Mytilus edulis: one gene and its partners. The protein of the gene in region 1 purifies or fractionates together with the protein of each later gene. This does not show direct contact. Links are inferred from orthologs where the notes say so. Each region holds a gene or a part of one and is shown on either strand. Other genes may lie near its edges. The genes, in order: serine/threonine-protein phosphatase 6 catalytic subunit, mitogen-activated protein kinase kinase kinase 7-like and TIP41-like protein.

Region 1 (8,713 bases):
TTTACAAATTGTGACTTGGATGGAGAGTTGTCTCATTGGCACTCATACCACATCTTCTTATATCTATTTCTGTGTTTGTCATTTGGAAGATGGTCAAAAACGAATTCTTCATTACCATAGAATCCATATATCTGTGTTATCTGTCTGCTTTCGTGGTTACCTCTCAGTAGGGTCATTTTGTCTGGCCACCTAAAACATTCAAATTCATTTTTAGTTCTTTTAATATCAAGTCATGTCTATAATGATAGTGCATTTTTTTAGAAGGAATTGAATTTGAATATATTATGCATGAACTCTAGTCCTGGTGTGAGATTTTTTTATATTTGGAATCAAATTTGCAAATTTAACATAGTTGTGCTGATATTTAGAGTTATTGTCTAAACATTGAAATACGTTGACCTAGATCAAATATAAAACTTGAAAACCATCAAAAATTCAGTGACAATCTCTTACATACATATTTTCTTCAATATAAAAATCATCAACATATTTTCATAAAATCAAATAACTTTTTTATCTAATTTTTTCAGTCATCAACATCTAACATCTGGTTTCCATACAATTTCTCCCTTTATACATGTACAGAGATTTCTTTTTACCTTTCTTTATAATTATTACAATATTTACAACTATGAGTGTTTAGTTTTCAATTCCTATAAAACAGAAAGTAGATTTGCACACAACTTATCACTATCAAACTTCTGATTAAACATGAAGCCCTTCTGTTCAGAAGTACATGTATTAGTGAAAAATTTGTTAGACAAACAAATGTACAAGGTGAACGAGATATAAGACATATATTTTAAAAATAAGACTGACAACCTTTCAACAGTGTTCATACCAAGCAGACCTACCTTGCCTTTAATGTGAGCAGTAACGTAAAAGTTTCTAAACTGTAATATCCTCGGTCTACAAAATCACCCTAGAATGAAATCAAAGTTTCTGTTCACTGTTCATATTATATAAAACTCATTATATCATGTATATATATTTACATCATACAAAATATAAGAACTATAACAATTCTGCCAATGATAAGTGTCTGAAATATCTAACTATAAAGTCATTCAGTGCAGTTATATTTGAGGACCAATTATTTTTAAAGTTCATATTTCAAGGTATTGAAAAATTCAATGAATCAGTTAATCTGAAGAATAAAAAACAAATGATTACATTTTAAAACTCATCACTGTCAAGTTGCTGATTAAATATGAAATTATTGTGTGTTGTTGGAGGAATGGACAGACAAGGTAAATGCAATATCGACCCCACATCTAGAGTGGAGGAATGGACAGACAAGGTAAATGCAATATCGACCCCACATCTAGAGTGGAGGTATAAAATACATGTACTAATATTTCTTTAAAATTTTTATTAAAAACTTTTTCAAAATGGGATAGAAAAGAACAAAATATATATATGGTGCATTCATTCATGACAAACAATCGGTATGGGATCCCATTCCACATGTTCATGCTTACATATTTAGCAAGTAATTCATTTTTTTTAAATACAGAATCTCAATAATCAATAGATCTATAATGCTATGTTACGTAGTCTGGTGACTTACCATAAAAATATAATTAGTGTCAGGTGCTTGGCCTCCTGTTTTGAACAATTCTATCAGGTCATAAAACTGAAGGAAAATTAAAAAATAATTTTAAATTTTGCACTGTGTAAATATTATTTGATGTTTAGGCATTTGCATATGTTCAAAGCTATCAAAGTTTCTGAAGTTTCTTAAGACATGATCTACGGTAACTAAAGTAGAGATCTTTTGTTCTTGTTTCACATTCATGACATTGTTTCACAACTACTCATTTTTGTGAAAAACTTGTTGCAAGTTCCTACGGTTATGTCTTATTAATTTATTCTTTCATAATTTCTAAGATAAAAATTTCCTTGGTTGACATAATTTATCAAAGTAGAATGGTGCATTTCAGAGTTTTGTAAGTGATACAATACATGGTAAAACTTCTGTGAGTATGTTGAAATGGACTGAACAATATACAAAAACAAAGTAAAATACTTACCTGGCCTGGAATCTCAGCACACAAAGACATGTAATGATAAAGGCCTAAACATTGATCATTTAACATGTAATATGTAGTAGCTATATATATAGGTGTTACCTAATTGCCTTTTATTGGCCATCCATATACATGGTACATGTATATTAATCTTCTATTTTGAGATAAAAAAAAGTTTAATTTCTAATAATCATAGGTAGGACATATAGGGCATCTTTTTCAGAAAGTGTTCACTTTAGTCAGGACAGATTAATCAAGAAAGTTTTTGAACATGTCTAGTTCAATCAATCACAATTTTGGGTGTGCATTAATTCATCAACTTATAGAAGAAGTTTTCCTCTACTTCATAACACTTCTATAATTGAGGGATCTATGATAAATATTTACCTGTCCATGAATGTCACCACACACAGTGACAGGGGATGACACAGGCTGTACATTGGATTCTTCAAGCAATAACTCACATACCATGTCACATAATCGCTGAAAAAGTATTTATAAAAAGTCAATATATAAATCAAATAATTTTTTTATTACATGACATAGTTCAGTAGTTCAGTGGACATCACAAAAGTTCCAATAAAATTTTAAAGACATAATAGAAAATATCTGATACCTAACCACAATAAAAAAAAGTGATTGTTGTATGCTGTCAACAGTTCAACTTCAAGCGAAGCGGGACAGATTTCTAAATAGTGATAAGCATGATAAGGTGTATTAGATTATTTCTGTAAACAAAAGCATATTACAATAATTACATTAGATGTATGTTTCATTACAATACGTTATTCTGCTATTTGGCTAACTGCACATCATGTGTTATTCCTTAAGCAGTTGTGTCACTCAATAAAACTTCTCATCCATGATGACACGAGGTCCCACAATAAAGTGCACAGGTAAATGAAATAAAAACTTGATAAAAGGCGTGTTTTCATGATCCTATAGGTAAAAATGTGATTATAAGTATTGAATGCTTTTTTTTGTAACTTTATAGGGTTGTAAAAGCGTTGACCGTGCGCACATTTTAAGTATGAAATGCTTCCGCGCTTCATACAAAATGTACTTCGGTCAACGCTTTTACACCCCAATAAATTTACATACAAGAATGTGTCCTCAGTACACGAATGCCCCACTCGCACTATCATTTTCTATGTTCAGTGGACCGTGAAATTGGGGTAAAATCTCTAATTTGGCATTAAAATTAGAAAGATCATATCATAGGGAACATGTGTACCAAGTTTGAAGTCGATTGGACTTCAACTTCATCAAAAACTACCTCGACCAAAAACTTTAACCTGAAGCGGGACAGACGGACGGACGAACAAACAGACGGACGGACGAATAGACAGACAGACAGACGGACGGACGCACAGACCAGAAAACATAATGCCCCTCTACTATCGTAGGTGGGGCATAAAAAGAGCATTCAATTCTTAAATATTACTCTAAATATATGAGTATATGGCTAGAGCTAATCTGTCAGTTATGTGATGAAAGTAAGTATGAAAAACCGACTGTAAAAACGATTAAAAAATAAAATAATATCAACTTCACAACAGAAACTGAGAAAGAATTCTAAAAATAACTCTGACGATTCATGTCTTGGGTTCTTTTTTCCCCATTTTAACATTAAGCATCGTTTGACATTGTTAAAATTCTCAAGCTTCATACTTTGAGGTCATTCTCTGGCAAGTAATTGCAATCTTTTGCTATTTCAATCCACTTTTCAATGTCAGACATTTTGTCGTTTTCCCTGTTTCTGGTACCCGATGAGGATATTTTTAAACCAGTCAGAATTTCTATTTTAAAGTGTATATTTCTTGTTCATTCTTTTCGTTAAGAAAAATTACTTTGACCTATTTTCTGATCATTTGAAATCTTTAAAATATCAATAAGTATTACTTTATTTCATTTTCAAGTTTATTTTATAATTACATTTTTCTTTTCTTCTCGAATATTGCACCCATTTTCTCATATAAATGAACACGTTAAAATAAATAAAAGATTACGGTGCGTTTTAATATCTGGCTTCGATAACCCATGGGGAAGGATAAACGAATAAATGTTTGGTTATAATTTTAAAAGAGGCTAGTTACAGCTTAAATTTAAATAATACTGTGTTTCTATGCAATACATGTATATGCAGTTGAAAAACAGAAGATTCATATCCACAGAGGATGATGCAATGAATTCTGATTAAATTGCAGCTATAATGATTTGCCTATACATGTATTATTTTATATCTAAAAATCACAGGCAATTGTTTCTGTCAATATGGGGTTTACTATCCATACCCGTACGAAAAATTACGTACGGGTATGGATAGTAAACCCCATATTGACAGAAACAAGTGCCTATGCTAAAAATTGTATCTATAATACTAAAATTACGAGGTCCATTTTGTCAGCCGTCATCGGGTAAAAACGACAAATCAAAGAATTCAACTCTATATAGAACTAATATAGGACAATGGTGTAGATTAAAAATTACACCACTCCAGACCCTTTTGTTTTCCACATAATTAATATTGCCAAAAATTAACAAGTTCCGGGTCGAATCCGATACCGATACCAATAGTATATTCACCTGTTAGCTATTACCTTATCTGTACGTTCCGCATTTGACAGGCGCACCAACAAACGGTGTATTTAGGATTTTGCTATATACACGGGTCAACAGCATTCAATTTGTCCTATATTAGTTATCTTAGAAAGTCTTGCTGATTGCTGAATAAAACTACAATAGGGAACAATTTGACAATGATAGAATTTAGTAGTGTCAGCCCTTTGATTATGACCCGTGTATATAGCAAAATCCTAAATACACCGTTTGGTGGTGCGCCTGTCAAATGCGGAACGTACAGATAAGGTAATAGCTAACAGGTGAATATACTATTGGTATCGGTATCGGATTCGACCCGGAACTTGTTAATTATTGGCAATATTAGTTATGTGGAAAACAAAAGGGTCTGGAGTGGTGTAATTTTTAATCTATAGGAGGACAATGCTGTTGATTAAAAAATACTCCATTCCTGGATAGCCAGGACCTTTTGTTTTCCAAATAATTAATATTACCAATAATTGATAAGTTCCAGGTCGACGGGTTCAAACAGAAAGATTTGAAAGCAAAAAAAAAAACTGTGTATCTTATAATCGACATTACTTTATCAGATGACAATACCAATTACTAAAATAAGGTTAGGCATAGTTATATACTTTAAGTCAGTCACGGACCCGCGATATCACGGGTGTGTACTTGTGTTTTCAAATAATATAAATTAGTTATGAAAATAAAAAATCAGTCCCTTGTTTTAATGAAAATTAATTCATGCTTCAACGGTGGAATAATCTGTCTTCTTAGTCTACAAAAAAAGTAACCGATCCTAAACAGCCCCCCCCCCCCTTTAGAATATCAAATGGTCGTCCCCTAATGCATTTGCATCAGTTACTTTCCAAAAACGTTCACCATTGTCTATTGTTGTTGGATGTCTTTTATAACAACTGTTATTGCTTGGTAACAAGATGATAATTGATGAACAACAAATAGAAGTTTTTAACGACCTTGACTGGCTATACAGCCCTTGCACGGTCGGCCCTGGCTTGCGCCTTTTTGGGCATTAAATAATATATTTTTATCATGTGGTAATTGACATAATTTAGAATAATAGGTAAAATTTAATAAAAATTTATAGAGCAAAAATTTGAATAAATAAATGAATAAATAAATTGATGAATAAGTAAATAAAAAAAGAAAAGAATATAAAAATAAATATAATAAAATAATATAAAAATAAATATAATAAAATAATATAAAAATAAATATAATAAAATAATATAAAAATAATTTTGTTTAAATAAAACATTAAATAATTTTGTTTAAATAAAACATTAAATAATTTTGTTTAAATAAAACATTAAATAATTTTGTTTAAATAAAACATTAAATAATTTTGTTTAAATAAAACATTAAATAATTTTGTTTAAATAAAACATTAAATAATTTTGTTTAAATAAAACATTAAATAAATAAATAAATAATTAGTAAAAACGTCTTTTTAACGATCTTTTCATTAGTACGTACTGTTTTTGTGGTTAAAATTGAATTATTACTGCCGGTTACGGCCTGACTCCATTTTTTAAATCATATGATTCTATTTATATAGCAGATAATCACGAAGTATAAATATGCCTTTTATCATGACACGACTGCGGCCGTTTTTAAGAACTCCCAAGAATAATTAACGTAACTGATCATGAGTTCAGATGAATTGCACTTGATTGTTTCATTTCACGGTAGGACAGTGATGCTATATCGTGCATAAAACTTTTCAAATATAAATAGTTCAAATATAATATCGTTTATACATGTGTGCTTTATTTTACCCTTTTCGTACGTAAAGGGTTGAAGATGAACAACATTTTATAACTAGTTGTCCAGCACACAAAGATGATAGGGAGATATTTTTCAAGGAGATAAACAGTATTTGTCCTTATTTTTCACATCTCTCAAATGAGGCAAAATTTGTTTGGTTATTTACTTATATGAAAATTTGTCTATACTTAAATATTTAAGGAACATATATATTACTAGGCTACATGTCTAGATGTTAGACGAAATGTAAATTACTGCATGTAATAATAATGTGATGCTTATTGTAATAATTTTATGGTTCTGGTCCTGTCTGGAATTAATGTATGTGATTTTTATAGAATGGAGATAATAATTAACATCTATCTGAACTTTTGAATTTTTCATTTCAATACTATCTGTAAAAAATCATGATGTATTGTTTTATGTGTACAAAAAAGTCATGTCATGCATGGGCCCTTGATTGGAATAACAAATATTCGTATTCTTATTCTTAATATTCTTTTTCTTATTCTACACCGTACGACGAAATATTAGCACATTGATGACTATTCGTCGGCGCATCGCAAACAGACACTTATTAATTTAGATAAAGGCAACAGAAGTATACCGCTGTTCAAAACTCATAAATCCATAGAAAAAAACAAATCCGGGTTACAAACTAACTGAGGGAAACACATTACTTATAACAGGAAAACAACGACACAACATTAAAATGTAGCACACAAAGAAACGAGCTATAAGCATTAGACAAAATCCGATGAGAATAACAAATACAACATATATATATAACATCAAAACTAAATACATGAATTTGGGATAGAAAAGAACCGTGACACGTCTTATAATAATGTGAATTCACACTCAAATAGAAAAGTACCATGAAACGTCTAAAGTTAACAATTTTATGAGTGCAATGATCAATAAAAAAATTGTGCAAAAATAAAAACAAATATACACATTTACATATATTTACATATACTGACTTTGAATTCGTATTTTAAACAAACACTGTTTGGCAAACTGATTATTGGTACATTTATAAAACAAGAAAATGTTATAAATAGAATGCCATTTATTACAAATTAATAGAATATTAGCATATACAAAAAAAAGATATATATATATTATACTTAACATGAAAATTTACATTTACATATAAAAATTTAGCCAAAATGTCAAATTGCCATTAGCCAAAATGTAGCATATTTTTAGACCAGATTATTACACCAATTACCCCAAACTTCTTGAACTTGCAAAAAAAGTTTTATATATTACAAAGAAAAATTGATTCAAAATCGATTAACATTTCCTGGAATTTTGTATATGGATTCCTGAATTCAATATGAAATTTATGAATAATATAATTACAGATAATAAAGCATGATAATATCAACACATTCATGTGAAATGTTTTATTTATAGATATGTATACTAGTAAACATACAGCAACAAGGAAATTAAATACAGGTTCTTAACACCGGAACTGTGTAGTCAGCCACTATTTACTCAGACTTTAATTGTTTTTATTCACGAAAATGGGTAAGTTCTGACTTTCTATCATCAGAGATTTCCACATTGTATGAATAAACTAATGTTTAACCTGTAACTATATGGTAAACGAAATTCGTATTGTTGAAAGTAGAATTTTTTTGTCGAGTAAAAGTCGATATATTAAATATATTTATGTTAACACGTTAAATGACATTAATCTGAAGGTTTCACATATATCGTGATAAATTGTTTTCTTAATATCACCATGGGAAGATATGAGAACTGTAATAAATATAAGCACTACAAAATCGAGATAAAACTTTCGATGACCTCATTCCTATATGCAGGTAGAAACGAAAGTAACTTTGTTACTTCTTGTTAGTATTGGATCATTCGATAGAACTCTTCTAGAATATTCTGCGTACAGCAGCAAGTGTTTCACATGTTTTAGTTTCGATTAGACAATTACAAAATGTTATTACAACAAAAGAAGGGGAAAATATTGTCGTTTTGAATACACATTCTAGCTAGGCCAAGCACACAAGCGATCTTAGAAAGCGATACGATATAAATTGTCGTCAGGTTAGAGAATTTGACAGTTATTTAATTTACTCGTAAGTTTGATTTAATGTTTTGTTTCATCTTATTTTATTTCTTTTATGTGTATGTTGTTTTTTTTCCAGTTTGTCAGAAGTAATTCGTTTGATTTTTTTAAAGTCATATATAAATTCCGAAAGCACAGTCCTGAGCTGAATAAGGACATGCACTTCAATTGTTTGCTATACTGTTCTTTAATTTGTAACTTATTTAATGCGCAATAC
Region 2 (8,196 bases), on another chromosome or scaffold:
TTTTGGGTTTCGTCAAGTTTTTGTTAGCTTAGACATTTTTCTTTTTTTATTTTACAATGAAATTGACTTTCCATTTTAAAACTTATAACCTTTTTCGAGCAATTATGTAATAAATCAAATGTTCTTTTTGTTCTATTGAAGAAGCAGCTGTTTCATTTAGAAAAGATAACTCAAGACACATTTTGCAGCTCATCTTGAAAGTGCCTGTCCAGGAGATTTTTAAGAAGTGTTTCATTTCATCAAAACCAGAGGATCTGGAAATGTCTTCAAAACAGAATGTAAGACAGAACATGTACATTGTCTGAAACTTGTAAGCAAAATGTGGACACAGCATCTGTACTTCAATAAGATTGACACACCTCTGTTGTTTATAGTACCTACCATTATACAGTGAGCCACCTTCAGCATACTCCATTACAAGACATACCTAAAATAACATGCAATCTTTGTACATGTATAATAAAATATCTAATATATATATATATATATATTAATATATTTTCTTTGTCTGTTTATGTTGTAATGTAACACCATGGTCTAAGGTTAGGGTGAAGGTTGGTGCCTGTTTAAACCTACTGTATTTTTTAAACACCTGTTCTAAGTCAGGAGCCTGTTGTTCAGTGGTTGTTGTTTATTGGTGTGGTTCATAGGTGTTTCTTGTTTCTAGTCTTTTATATTGATTAGAGATTTGGTGTTGCCTGTTTGAATTGATTTACACTAGTCATTTGGGGCCTTTTATAGTTTGCTGTTCCAGTTAAGCCAAGGCTCTGTGACTGTGTTGAAGGCCATACTTTGACCTATAATTGTTAATTTTTTTATACATTGTGACTTGGATGGACAGTTGTATCATTGGTAATCACACAGCATCTTATTTTTTATAATACATGCTTCCCTTTATTAATAAATACATGCAGAAAATATGTGTGAAAAAGATGACTTTATATCTGATGCGAAATATTTTCAGATTTTCATCTCTTACCTATGTCTACAACCAAACACATCTTTTTTAACTTTTTTAGTTTGAAGTTTTTTATTCTTTCAAAGTTTCAACTTGGAAATATTTCTTTTAAATACAGTCTGCACCAAAAACTTTTTCAACTACTAGTTCGAAGACCAATATTCTGACATTTTTCTTATTAGTCCAAACAAAGTTTTGCAAAAACTTACTAGTCTGAATGAAATTTTACCAGTCTGGGTCATCGGACTAGTGGCTAACTGTGCAGACTGTAAATATCAGCACGATCAGGTGTACCACAAACATGCATTATCATCATGATCATATTTAAACCATATACAATGTACTTACTGTTGGTGGTTTAGTACAAGCACCATACAGTTTGACTATGTTAGGATGATTAACTCTTGACAGCTGCTTTAACTCTGTCATAAAAGCTTTCCTCTCGGATTCGGTTTCTATTAGTTTTACTGCAACATCTTTTGATCTCCATTTTGCTCTACTGACAACTCCAAATGCTCCTTTCCCTACAACCTGCAAAAAAAATTAAAACAATATTATTTTAAATAAATGATTGTCATTCTATCTATCAACAACAATACAGTATATATTTCCAACATTACATCTTCATTGTACAATGTATCAAACTCAATGATTTTGTACTAAATTTTTAAACTGCAACTTTTAAACAATGGACAGTTGTTTGAGATTAGACATTCTGGTGTAAATGATATATAAGTATATGTTGTACATGTACAAATATTTTTTTCAAATTTAAAAATTTAAAAAGTAAGTTATTTATTGGCATAAATGAAAAAAAGTTGAGGACTAAAAATTTGATCCATCTTCCCACAAGAACAATTTTGTTTTTTGGTCAATATTTCATATGTACATGTAAGCTATAGTAAAGTAAGATACATTTACATATGTACAAATATATATACATGATATATGTCATGATCAAATGTAACAAAATAAACCACACAAAACCAAGTAAATTCAATCAATATCATGGAAACACAAATTTATTTATGACATAACATTAACAGAAATATAAAAAGAGTTTAATATAAAGAATTTTTAGATGATAAGAATAATAATGATTCATGAAGGAAAGCCAAAAACTCTTTCTCAAGCATGACAAGTGGTAAATTTAGCAACTACCAGCTGAATTTATTGGTTTACAAATTTATAAATTTCATTTCTTTAGATAATGGGTATCCGGTCGTTCTGTCTCCAAACTAATCCGGCCCAAAGTCGATCCGGCCCACATAATAAAATATTGAATAATCTATACTGCCTTAGGCAGCAACTGGGGGGGGGGGGGGGGGGCTATGGATTTTTTTGGAAAAAAAAGTTTGTTTCCAGTTTTTGGAGAAAAAAACAATTTGTTTTTGATTCTGAGAGAAAAAAAATGTTTAGTTTCCCCCTTAGCTGCCACTATATGTAATGCTAAAATTGAAAGAAAAAATTGTTTTCGACTTGTCGCGAGAAAAATATATTGTTTAGTTTTTCGCCACAGGCGAAGAAGAAAGTTTGTCCAGAAAAAAAATCTGTAGCCCCCCCCCCCCCCCCCCAGAAAATCAAATGGTTGCTGCCTTAGGAGATTTGGTGACAGATTTAAATCAGTATAAATGGAATTTGTAAAATCTAAAAGTATCGATAATTGATGACATTGCTGTATTTTGAATCGATACGAAAATGAGTGCAATGTGTCTGTTTAACCATACATGTCAAAGATTAATGAAACAGTAACTTTTTGTACTCATTTTAAAAAAAAATAAACACACATGTTACGGCCTAACTGACAGTTTGGCTGTACTGGCGGACACATCTTGAATTTGGAAGTTGAAGCAGCGGCCGAATTGTCAATTTTTTAGAGCTGTACTGTAGAATTATCATATAATCTAAAAGGTTTTTGTCCACCTGATTACTACTCATAGTGGTTGACAATGCACAAACATAATGTAATCGTATCTTTCATAACTTTATGTCTACTCTAAGCTATAATAATACAATGGAGAATATGATTATGAAAATCAAAACATGGACAGGGTTTGACAGACTAACATATATAAACAAATATACAAGAAGCATAACCTCGTAGAATTGTAGTTCTCGAAAGTCTATCTCCTCCACAAAAGTGGGTTCCATTTTAAGTTAAATACTCATAAATCTACGTTCGTCTTTTCCATGAAATAGGTTTTAAAAAATCCCTGCCCATATTTTGGTCGAACTGAAAGTGGAGGAACTTGGGAGACTCGTTTTGGAATTAGAGCAAATCATGTTACACTGATGTGTTCATGTTATGCAGTCGATATCAACCTAAACCATAATTCCGGAATCATCCGGAAGTTACCGAACAAGCGCGATTGTGAATACGACAATCGCATGTTCATGTTCATGTTAATTAAAGTGATATTGGTGTTTCAGGATTAAAGATTTTGTCAAACGTCAACGAAACAAGTCTTTATAAAAGAAACGTAAAGGATATGGCGTGACACAAATCAGCACATGCATATTTGTTAGTTAATGACTACTTACTAGTATATGCGTACATGAAAATAGACGTTTCGGCCATGGTGTCAGTTCGGCCTTGCCAACGGTTAATTAACATTAATTCGATTTAAACTTAAGTTTGGACACTCTCTCAAATGTAATTGGAATTAAATTATAATCAACTAATTGAAAAGTTAACGTCGTTTGGACGGTGCAGTGAAGAGAATTTGACACGCATTGCATCTACATCTACATCTAAATCTATACTATTGATCTGCAGTGGACATCCATAACGCAGATACTGCTGTGCAAACGTCAACCTGCGTGCTCAGTATTTACAATTGCAATTAAAATTCGATAAAAACAGGTGGTTTCTGTTTACAGCTGCAGTCTCCGAAGTTGCTCCTTGAAGCTTTCCAGAGACTAGCTTGGAAGGTTTCAAGAATCAGGCTGTTCCAGTCAGTGATGGTGCGTAGTTTGTAGCTGTAATTGTAGGCATCTGTGGAAGTACTGATCTGAGTGAATTTTCTGGATGGTATTGTCTATAATAATAATAATAATAATAATAATCATAATCATTAAAATGATGATGATGATGATGATGATGATGATGATGATGATGATGATGATGATGATGATGATGATGATGATGATGATGATGATGATGATGATGATGATGATGATGATGATGATGATGATGATGATGATGATGATGATGATGATGATGATGATGATGATGATGATGATGATGATGATGATGATGATGATGATGATGATGATGATGATGATGATGATGATGATGATGATGATGATGATGATGATGATGATGATGATGATGATGATGATGATGATGATGATGATGATTACAATACACAATATATACGATACATAAAGACAATACTAACACATATATGGTAAAATATATTGGCATTATTTTGAGTGCAGTATCCTTAAGTGTATGAAAAATTTGCTGACTGTATTTTATCAGGGATAACGGCCATGAAAACTCTAAAGCTTGTTTCCAATGGGGTCCCTTCATGGAAACGGCTTATAGTTTCGACATACAAAAAAGATAACACAGAAATCAATATGACATAAAAATTCTTATAAAAATAATTTATATAAAAATATGATTAACAATATAAAAAGGAGTCTGATGACGCCGCACTATAACTTTTGGCCAAGTGCTCTTTGACGCTAATTTTGAATTTCTTTATTTTCTTTATTTTTTTTAACATTAATTGGCAACATATTCCAATCTTAATTGTATGCCATTAAAATAAAATGTGTCTTTAACTGGAGGAACCCAGAAGTTATATTCCTATGGCATTAATAATTTTAAAAAGGTTTACTTTTATAATGTGAAATGTGTATACTGTATTATTGATGGTGAGACGTTAATAAATTATTATTGTATTATTGTTGCACTATTTCGTGTGAAATGATGATGTAAATTTCTCACCGTTGTATAAAATTTGAATAATATAATTAGGACAATGATGGTAATAAATATTATGTATGATGGTTTAATCTCAATTGTTTAACACGATTTTCAATATTAACATAACCAATACTATTCAATACATTATGGTCAACTTTTGAACTATATCCAGTGGTTTTTTTTTTTTATAAATCTAACACATTTGTTTTGTAATACTTGTAACTTATCTTTATATTTTTTGCTGACACCAGCATACCATGCAGAACAGGCCTATAGTCAAAATGACATTGAATTAAAGCTGTAACTAAAGTCTTTCTTGATTGTTCAAATAAACATTTTGCCTGTCTGTATAGGAACTTCAATCTTGAATTTATCTTTTGAATAATAGTATTTAAAAAAATTTCTCCAGAAAGAGAATTATCTATATTAAGGCCTAAATATTTCACACAATATTGCGAGGAAATTGTGTGATTTTTACAAGTAACATCAAAGTTACGGATTTTAGATAATTTACGTTTTGACCCAAACAGAATAGTTTCTGTTTTCCCCAAATGAAGTGATAATTTATTATCAATCAGCCATTTGCTACAAGATTCAAGTTCCTTACCAAGTTTCTCAGATATAACTTCTGGGTTTTTATGAGAGTATAGTATGGTACTATCATTTGCATATAGTAAAATTTTGCAGTCTTTACTAATACTTATAGACATGTCATTAACATATAGATTATAATATAGGAATAAAAGTGATTCTTAAATACTCCCTTGTGGTACTCCACATGTAATATATCTTAAATCAGATTCAGTACCATTTATACTAACTTTTTGTTGTCTATTACATAAATATGATTCAAACCATTTATTACATTTTTTGTAGTTTGTTGCACAATATAAGATGGTCGACAGTGTCAAAGGCTTTTTGTAAATCTAACATTATCATTCCAGTATAAAAACCCTTAGCAGTTTCATTTTTAATATGATCTAACAAATGAATAAGACATGTATCTGTAGAATAAGCAGATCTGGAACCAGCTTATAAATTATAAAGTAGATCATTTTCCACCAGATATTACTGACGATCAATGCATTGAATATGTACATATTGTTGGAATCCCCCTTTCTCCTGGGTTGGGAACCCCCTTTTAAATGTGGCTCGATCCGCCTCGATCAATTCCAGTCAGTATTTACCAAAGAAAACCTAAATAACTTTCCAGATAAAGGAAAAAGTCCATACTACACCATGAAGGACATAAAAATTAGTACCAACGGAGTCCACAAATTGTTAAAAAACCTGAAACCGCATAAAGCTACTGGTCTCGACTCAATACCAGCCTTTATACTGAAAGCAGCAGCAGAACAACTTGCTCCGATACTCACAGACCTATACCAAACATCATTGAACACTGGTGAAGTCCCGCAAGATTGGAGAGATGCCAATGTAGTTCCACTTTTTAAAAAAGACGAAAGGCACCTAGCATCTAACTACAGACCAGTATCTCTAAATTCAATCACGTGTAAGGTCTTAGAACATATTGTACACAGCAACATCATGGACCACTTTGACAAAAATAAAATACTAACTGATGCATAACACGGGTTCCGCAAAAGACGATCACGCGAATCCCAACTAATCGTAACCATCAACGACATTGCATCAAAATTAAAAAGCAGCGGCCAAGTAGACATCATCCTGCTAGACTTTGCAAAAGCATTTGACAAGGTACCACATCACCGCCTCCTACACAAGCTGGAATACTATGGCGTCAACCCCAAAACCAATAAATGGATTCGCTCCTTCCTACATAACAGAAAGCAGAGCGTGATATTAGAGGGTGCTGTCTCCTCACAAGTACCAGTACTCTCTGGTGTACCCCAAGGCACAGTCCTTGGTCCATTACTGTTCCTGGCCTACATAAACGACATGCCAGAAACAGCATCTACATCAGAGACCAAATTGTTCGCGGATGACAGCCTACTCTTTCGTACCATCACCAACCAAGCTGACAGTGAACTACTTCAAAAGGACTTAACAGCATTGGAAGACTGGGAAAACAAATGGCAGATGAGTTTTAATGCCAAAAAAAATGCCTTGTCATCAGAATATCCCCAAAAAATAGACCAGTGATACAAACATCGTACCAGCTACACGGTCATACTCTAGACACAGAGGAAGCAAGCAAATATCTTGGAGTAACTATCAGCAACAACCTAACATGGGATAAACACATAGACAATACAGTAGGCAAAGGAAACAGAACGTTGGGATTTATACGTAGAAACCTCAAAGGCTGTACAAAACCTGTAAAGGCAGCTGAGTATGTATCCATGGTAAGACCTGCAGTGGAATACGCAAGCACAATATGGGACCCAACCGCCCAAAATAAAATCAAGGCAATTGAACAGGTCCAGAAAAGAGCTGCACGATTTGTGAATAACAACTACACAGACCGAACACCTGGCTGTGTCACAAATATGGTTAAAAATCTGAAATGGGAAAGTCTAGAAGAACGGAGGAAAACAAATAGATTATGAATGCTATTTAAGATCCAGCATAATTTTATAAATATCGACCGTCACCAATATTTGACACCGAATGATAACCGGACCAGAGGTAAAAACCGCTTCTTCCAAGAAAGAACAAGTACAGACACTTACGGCCAATCTTTCTTTCCGAGGACAATCAGGGACTGGAACAACCTACCAACAACAGTTACAGCGACCAACACCGTTGAGGGATTCAGATCTGCCCTGAAGGCATGCTCTGAAAGGAAGTAGGAAAACCCAGTTGTAAATAATTTTAATTGTATATTTTTGCGAACGTTTTAAATGTATTTGTAAATAGCCAAAAGAAAGCTTTCTGTGTTGCCCGACACTGCGTAAAGTTTTCGCGCGGAACCATGAACATTCAGTATTGAATCCGGTTCCTTACCTGGAAGAAGAACGAGATATTCGTGTAGCGGCCAAAAGTATACAATGGTGGTAATATCTGTAGGGCAACATATATAAATAATATATATGATATCTGATACCGGTATATCCACTATTTTAACTTCATTTTTCGGTCCAAGTTCCCCTGTTTACATGCACAGACATTATTTTATTTTTTACATTTCTGGTTATTATAGAATTAGTTTTTCCGGTCGTCACTGAATACAAAAAAAGTTTGAAATAGAAAATTTGATCATATAAACCAAACATGATCGTTTTAGATTAAAAATCAGACATGAAATAATATGTTTTGTTACGTTGAAGGTTTCCAAAGAACTTGACGTGTTATAATGTAATAACTCTCAGAACCCTCT
Region 3 (8,348 bases), on another chromosome or scaffold:
CAGAAGAAGAAATAGAAGCAATATTTGAAGCAAGTTCTGTATCCAATAATACTCATAGTGAAGACCCTTTGACCAAGACAGAACATAAAACCGACACTGAATTGAAACCGACACAACAATATCAGAGACGGACATTATTACTGAAACAAACACTGAAAATGATGGTCTTCATTTAGCAGACCATAATGAACAAACCATTGAGTTAGAAATAAAAACAATGGTGAGTGAATCAAGTGATGCTAACATAGCTGATGAAGAAAGTTTCAGAATGACATTTATTTGTAAACTTCCTCTTAAGAGGTCGCTTTCGGGTGGTAATATTCGTGTTGTCAATATTAGTGAAGGTTTATCTGAAATATCAAATATTGACATCAAGCGTGCACGAAAGAGGTCCCTTTCTGGACAGCAGGTACAAGCTGGTGTCTTATAAAAAAACTCAAAAACTAGAATAACTGTGCTCTCCCAAAGTGATAACGTTATATTCCGTCCATTTACAATGTATAGGGGCCCTGTATACGGTAGATGAGAGAAACATTGAAGGCGTGGTGATTAAAGTGAATGAATATGGCGGCTATAAATTTGGAACTTAAGTTGGACAAATAAAGAGAAGCTAGGTCCATTTTTTGGCAAATGCAACTTTAAATGTGTCTGAAGTCCCAATGAGTGATATGAGTGTGAGAGAGATAGTGCACAAGTTATTATTGAGAGGAGGGCAAGTTTTTGTGCATTATCAGTGTAAGAAAGGCAGTTGTAATTATGGTAGGTGTAATTGTAGAAGAATGAATGTTTTGAGCAACTCAAGGTGTCACATGTGTCTGTCTTTTAACAACAAGTAAAAAATTTAATGTTTCTAAAATGCATGAAAATGTAGTATTTTATGCATGCTGTAAATAATGCACCTTCTTTTGCTTTTGATTATTGTTCTTTATTATTTAATAAATTTCAATAATGCATGTATATTCTGCTTTATTATTATTTTTAAAGTTTTGTACAGGTTAAAACCATTTTTAAGCTATATTTTGTACATGTTATAACATGTACGGGGTCATTTTGTGCATGTTATAACTTGTATTTTAGCATTGTACAAATTATAACATGTACAATATTTTTGTACATGTTATAACCTGTACAAAATTGCAACTTGTACACGACATATACAATTTCATATATGTTAGCTACTCTGTAATTGGGCCTTTTGATACTGGGTCATGTAAGAGCTATTATGGAAGCAATATTAAAATAAGTGCAATTTGAAAGAAAAAAAAAACACCTAATTTATTCCCAAGAATATGCCATGACCCAATGCATTCTTTATTTGCTGGACAAAATATTATTAGTTGCCAAAACTCTTTTGAATCAGACATTTCTCATAGCAATCAAATCTCACATTACATGATCACCTTTGATTATAACAAATGTATAACTTTACCAAACTTGTTATGCCATTCATCTTTATTTTTCAGATAATTCTGTGTTTTGTTTTGTTTTTTTGATTGAAACTGTGATTGGTCAGTTAACCTGTAAATGAAGATGATCTAGTAACCACTTTTCTCTCAAAGCAGAGACAAACTTAACAATAACAAACCTAGCCTGTCTCCAAGCATCAGATACAGCCACTTTGAGTAAATCGTTTCGAGGGTCCACCAATCTAAGAGCATCAAGAGCATTGAACTCCAAACCAAATCCTGCTGAATGTTCTAAACGTAGTAAGTTATCAGCAAACACCATCTCAGGAACCTGTGGAAGTTCCAATTGACTCTCGAATCTAAAATGACATTAAAGATATTCACCCAAAATTTAAATCTATAAATGAGTTAGTTTGAACACATTGAATAGAGTTAGGGACTGGAGCAACCATTTAACTTCATTATTTTTTTGTCTGAGTCAGAATTGCCTTTTTTTTTTATTTTTCAAAGCTATCCATTAAATCATTTTGGTTCAAAATTTAACACTATAAAGTATTGGTTTGTCATCTGCATGACCACAATTTTTTTTTTCAAATTGGGATCAGAATGGTTTTTAACCCCCTTTCCCGCTTTTCAGTCTTTACTTTACCTTTCAATTGATGTAATTTGTTATAGAGTTAATTTTCTTGCCATTTTGAAGGGGTCAATATAGATGATTTTTATATTTGACTTAATATCCAAATTGAAATATGCAGTACAAACAGGTCTGACAAAAGATGGATCTTATATGAATCAAGAAAGGCCAAAATAAATCAAAATTGTTTAACAGTCTAGCAGTCGGTATGACATGTTGAATTTGGCTGATTTATGAAGGACTTAGTCCTCCACCATGGCAACTAAAGGGCAGTAACTCTTGATCAAATTGTGTTGATCTGAACCTTTCTATTGTTAACTTATACATGTATCCTGGTCTACTTAATTTTAATAATAAAATATAAAATAGATAGCAGTTGGTATCTGTTTGTTGCTCATTTTACAAAATTCCTTCCAACTGTTTTAAGGTACAAAATGTTAAAAAGTGAATTTCTAATTGCTATTACTTTTGTAGTTTTTTTTGTTTGCGAGTTGAATTTCCAATAATACAGTATATCAACCTCAGGAAAATCAATATGAGTGTAATATAACAATTTTTTCAGCTTTTAAGGCTCATGACAATATGCATTGGTCTTCAATCTTAATTGACTAGGATAGTCAGTTTTCCTGACAAAGTCTGGTAGTTCTCTTCGGGTACTCTGACTTCCTCACTAATAAAAAAAATGGCAAAGATAGAAAGTGATGTTGAAGACCAATAATCAATCCAAATTTGGCAGCATTCCTCCTGTTACACACTGATTGATTGAGCTGTTTAATGTCATGTCAGCTCAAACATTCTATGTTATGGTGAGTTAACTTTTCACAGTGAATGGCTCAACTTTTTTGGTGTGTACTGCAGGTTTGTGTAAATTGTAATCATCTTCTCATCATTAGACATTACCTCTCTCTATCTGGACCTTCCGATTTCAGAATGTGTGACTTTATAGACGTACAACGCCATGGTCCAAACTGGAATTTCTCTGTAACAGATCTAGCTTTAGCTGCAGTACTGTCACCTCCCATCATCCTGAAAAATATATGCATCTAAGAAAATTATAACCTAGCTTTTCAAAATAAGAAAACAAAATATTCATCTTATGTTATGGAAAATGGAGATCTTCTTTCACATAAACCACTACAAAAGATCTAACACAAGGCTGCTGCTAAAATTTATTTGCCTGAAATCCGGGTCTGTTTGACCCAAATCTGACACGTCTGTTTCTACACATGTTCTATACACATTATCACGAGTTGTCCGCCATTACTGGATATCAATAAAGTCATGAAAGTTCCCGTAAATTTTATACGTCATAATAGAAAATATCCGATGCCACAATGGAAAAGTGATTGTTGTATGACGTCAAAAGTTCAAGCGGGACAGATTCTCAGGTCAGCAGGACAAAATTCCAAATAGTGATAAAATGTTTGTTCGCCACCTTTCAGGTTCACACCCCTGGGTAGGTTTAAACCCTTTTTTAAAGCTTTTTTTAAAGGATTTGTGTTGAATAAAATTTCAATCATGCTTTAATAAGTGTATTGCTATAAAATTTAAAAAGAAGTCTTTTTTTTTTTTTTTTTAAAACCTTGTCATTTTTGTGATATATATGGTTGAGCTTTCGACCCAGAGAAGCTGATATTCATTTTTATCAATATCACCAACACACTTTGACAAAAAAATATGGCAGTGTTTAAATAAACTTAAGATTCTTGACATGAATTTGTCAAGATTGTATGACAGTGTGTACCTGATCATCAAAAAAATAACTTTTTTTACATGTTTGCCATAAACTGGTTTCTGTAAATGTCGTTTTGTTTTTATTGTTTAAGTTTAAGTTCCATCACTGTAGTATACCAGATTAATAATATTAATTCGATCAGAATTTTAAAATTTCATATTCATATCAATTAATACTAGATATAAAGGAATAAAAAAAGTTAACAAGAGTTTTGCGACATCTTTTGCGGAATAATGTGCAAAACGAATTGCCTGTAATTTAAACAAGTAGTAGCTTTTCTAAAAAAACTAGCCGTCTCTTTGCTTAAGGAATATCATGAAAGTTGGGAAGTGTTTTCACTTTGTAGATTGATTCATTCAGAATGCCTTGTTTAAATTGTAGCGGATTACAAAATTAAAAAAGACTTAAATTGTAAAAATATTCAAGTCAGTACTCCATGACTCAAGTTACAACAAAATATATAATTTTATTTACGAGTATACGTTATTTTATTTAGTGGCATGTAGTCCAATATTATGGTTATCTTTCTTGTTTAACATCTCACCCCTTATTTTATTGATTATGTAATATAAAGAAGGCGCTACCTTAAATGCCAGCTTTGATACCAACACTATTTCCAAAAAACTGATGAGGGCCCTCATGGGGTTTTTGATTATGTGATTACTTGGCCGTTTTTTTAAAGATTATTTGATTATTAAGCCAAATATTTCATGATTATTTGATTACCTAGGACTGTATTTTTAGTTTATGATTATTTGATTACTAAAGATAAGCAAATATTTAATGATTATGTGATTATATTGGCAAAAAAATGGTGATTATGTGATTACTAGGACCCCCCCATGAGGGGCCTCACTGATTGTTTATTGGTTGCTAAAAGTCCAGTTGCAAATATTTCATGCATGTTCAGGACGAATGTATATATATAATTTTTGTCTAAAGTAAAAAATAATAAAAAGTTCAGAGGGAAAATGCTTAGGGAATGATTATGAATTTCAAAGGGCAGGAGGGAGTGTGGTATTTTTCTAGTCCAAATAATTATGACGTCTTGAAAGCCTATTATATTATTTTCTTTGACACGTCCCTGGAAGGCGTCAAAGCAATGATTTAAAATAGCCTTCCTAGAAGTCAAAAATATTTGGACCAGTATTTTTCTATTTTATTGATTTTGTATTATACATTGTCCGTTCAGTGTATGTTCACATGTAACTGTTTTTGTTAATATGCTTTTTGATTGCGTTAAGCCATTTCAATTGATATTCTATAGTGAGTCTTTCTATGTTGTGATGTTACACTATTGTTTAAAATAAGGGTGAAGTTTTGGTACCATTAAAACATTTAAACCCGCTGCATTTGTTTGCACCTGTCCTAAGTCAGGAATCTGTTGTTCATTGGTTGTCGTTTGTTGTTGTGGTTCACAAGTATTTTTTTTATAAAGATTAGACTGCTGGTTTTCCTTCTTGAATTGTTTTACACTAGTCATTTTGGGATGGGACCCTTTATAGCTTGCTGTTTGGTGTGAGCCACAGCTTCGTGTTGAAGGCCATACTTGGACCATAACAGTTAACTGTTTACAAATTGTGACTAGGCTTTGATGGAGAGTTGTTCTTGTCTTTTTACAGTATATACTTACAGTAACTGAGATCACCAATGATTTTGAGTGGGGATCGTGTTGCCCAGTCTTTTCTAGTATTGCTGTGTATTTTGAATACTGTTGTTTGTATTTTGATTGTTGTTGATCCTTTTTTTTTGCCATGGAGTTGTCAGTTTGTCATCGATATATGAGTTTGAATATCAGTCTTTGATATCTTCCACCTCTCTTTAATTGGGGACTAGGTTTAAGTAAATAACGGCAAAACCCAAACAAATTGTATTCATCTTAGCTTTCCATATACATATGTATACTGCCACTTTCCAGTGTCAACCTGAATAATTCACGGTTGGAAAAAGCCAAATAAAAAAATAATTCCGAACTCCAAGGAAAATTCAAAACGGAAAATCCCATATCAAATGGGAAAACCAAAAAGCCCAAAACACATCTAACGAATGGAAATCAACTGTCATATATTCCTGACTTTGTACAGACATTTCCTTATGTAAAAAAGTATGCATTAAACCTGGATTTACAGCTAGCTAAACCTCTCACTTTTATGACAGTCGCATAACATTACATTATATTAACCACAATGTCATTACAGTGAGTTGACTGTTAGTGTTGCTCTCCACCAATTGCAACTCATTCAAAATTTTGACCAAATTGCAATTTGTTTTATAAAATCAAATTGTTCAACTGGTCAGAAATTTGAACCAATTGCTGTAGAAAACCACAGCCAAGTCATGAAAGTGCAAGGTGATAAAATAAAACATACTTACAATCCTATAAGACTTTAACTCCACTTTAATGATGTTGTGACAGAATTAGTTTATCATAAAATTGAGAATGGAAATGGGGAATGTGTCAAAGAGACAACAACCCGACCAAATAAAAAACAACAGCAGAGGGTCACCAACAGGTCTTCAATGTAGCGAGAAATTCCCGCACCCGGAGGCGTCCTTCAGCTGGCACCTAAACAAATATATACTAGTCCAGTGATAATGAACGCCATACTAATTTCCAAATTGTACACAAGAAACTAAAATTAAAATAATACAAGACTAACAAAGGCCAGAGGCTCCTGACTTGGGACAGGCGCAAAAATGCGGCGGGGTTAAACATGTTTGTGAGATCTCAACCTCGCACTATACCTCTAACCAATGTAGAAAAGTAAACGCATAACAATACGCACATTAAAATTCAGTTCAAGAGAAGTCCGAGTCTGATGTCAGAAGATGTAACTTAAGAAAATAAACAAAATGACAATAATACATAAATAAAGTCAGACTACTAGCAGTTAACTGACATGCCAGCTCCAGACTTCAATTAAACTGACTGAAAGATTATGATTTCATCATATGAACATCAGTTTGTAGAGTTATATTAAAGTCATTTCCATGCTGAAGGGGAAGTTCCGAACTTTTTATTTTGAATTGCTATTAAATTGTCCAAACTAAGCTTTCATATAGTTTTTCTTTCTAAAAGTATTCTATATTTATAAGAATCAGACATTATGTGAATTAAAAATTTTCATATTCAGTAAAATATGTGTAAAATTGCAATATATGTTTGTAGGAAGTTTCCATGGGGGAGATAATAACTTTTCTTTCAAAAAGGCTTTATTCAAAAGAATAATATTTAGGTTATCTCCCCTGAAAACTTATCAATAGCATATTGTTATTTCACACATATTTTACTGAATATATGATGTTTTATTTAAAATGATATCTGATTCTTATAAATATAGAATACTTTTAGAAAGAAAAACTACATGAAAGCTTAGTTTGGACAATTTTATAGCATGCAGTTCAAAATAAACAGTTCCTCTTCAGCATGGAAATGACTATAATATAACTCTACAAACTGATAAACAAATTTTGTCGCAACATCATTAAAGTGCATGGAGTTATAGGATTGTAAGTATATTTTATTTTATCTCTTTGCACTATCACATATTGAATGAACAATTTGTTCAATATTCTGACCAGTTGAACAATTTGGTTTAATAAAACATATTGCAATTGGGTCAAAATTTTGAATGAGTTGCAATTGGTGGAGAGCAACACTAACAGTCAACTCACTGTAATTACAATATTCATAAGACAAAGTTTTCATCTCAGTCGAAATTACTGTCAATTTGAACAAGATATATTCTTGATAAGATTAAGCTGTGCCAGTGTTTGTAACTTGTGATTTACTTTTGTATACCATTTTTTAATACGTTTTGCCCATCATTATCTATTCTTTATAGTTTAGCACCTCATTATTCTGAGTCTCTATTCCTTATTTGTTTTGGTCCATTTTTCTCTTTTCTTTTATGTTTTACCCTTTTTCTCTATTCTGTAAACCCTATCAACACCTTCTATAATTCGTTCATATTTTGGTGATGCACATACAACTTGATTTAATGTTATGATATTTAAATGTAATTCGATCTTCAGCTTGGAGAACGATCATTAGTTTTGTCTTCTTCTTCAAAGAAATGTGCCACGGATATGAAATAAAAAATCATCTATTTTTAATTTCCGTTGATTATATATGTTCATGCATGTGTCGCAACGTTGAGCACTGTGGCCGATTTACGGAAACGGCAGCTCGAAGTAATGTGCTCCTTTTATTGGGACTGAGCGCATTCGATTCATATCAAATGTCAATAAGAGCCGAGTACATTATTTTTTACTTAACGTTTTAAGCATTAATGCCGATTGGTTTTGAGTGTCAAACAGCACCTTTTAAGGCAAAAGACTGAGCTTTAAAAAAGAGAACTTTGGATGACCACTTATTCTTTGTCCTGATTTTATCTGTCTAAAACTGCCACGCATTGTTTACAGCATGACTTACTTTAATTAAGCACATACAAAATTCCCGCTAGAATTGTAACAGAGTTAGCGGAAACAAACTTGGTCAACATTGATAGTTCTCACAGTGCCTTGATAATGTGTTTGATGGTATAACAAGTATAACAACTGATGTTTATAG

What was found.
Region 2: the proteins of serine/threonine-protein phosphatase 6 catalytic subunit (region 1) and mitogen-activated protein kinase kinase kinase 7-like purify together in Homo sapiens (affinity purification with western blotting; 3 studies listed by BioGRID and IntAct, with this or other methods). This does not show direct contact. The link is inferred for Mytilus edulis from reciprocal best matches to the Homo sapiens genes PPP6C and MAP3K7.
Region 3: the proteins of serine/threonine-protein phosphatase 6 catalytic subunit (region 1) and TIP41-like protein purify together in Homo sapiens (co-immunoprecipitation; 4 studies listed by BioGRID and IntAct, with this or other methods). This does not show direct contact. The link is inferred for Mytilus edulis from reciprocal best matches to the Homo sapiens genes PPP6C and TIPRL.

The regions. Positions count from the first base shown.
Region 1 is NC_092345.1:11,367,204-11,375,916, reverse strand, and holds the start of serine/threonine-protein phosphatase 6 catalytic subunit, read right to left. Parts: upstream 3,831-8,713; 5' UTR 3,771-3,830; coding exon 3,702-3,770; intron 2,514-3,701; coding exon 2,418-2,513; intron 1,637-2,417; coding exon 1,571-1,636; intron 923-1,570; coding exon 855-922; intron 190-854; coding exon 116-189; intron 1-115.
Region 2 is NC_092353.1:40,922,505-40,930,700, reverse strand, and holds the start of mitogen-activated protein kinase kinase kinase 7-like, read right to left. Parts: upstream 3,250-8,196; 5' UTR 3,110-3,249; coding exon 3,056-3,109; intron 1,490-3,055; coding exon 1,307-1,489; intron 428-1,306; coding exon 382-427; intron 1-381. UniProt on the Homo sapiens protein: Serine/threonine kinase which acts as an essential component of the MAP kinase signal transduction pathway. Plays an important role in the cascades of cellular responses evoked by changes in the environment.
Region 3 is NC_092353.1:75,585,843-75,594,190, forward strand, and holds the start of TIP41-like protein, read right to left. Parts: upstream 3,762-8,348; 5' UTR 3,754-3,761; coding exon 3,704-3,753; intron 3,067-3,703; coding exon 2,941-3,066; intron 1,766-2,940; coding exon 1,586-1,765; intron 1-1,585. UniProt on the Homo sapiens protein: May be a allosteric regulator of serine/threonine-protein phosphatase 2A (PP2A). Isoform 1 inhibits catalytic activity of the PP2A(D) core complex in vitro. The PP2A(C):TIPRL complex does not show phosphatase activity.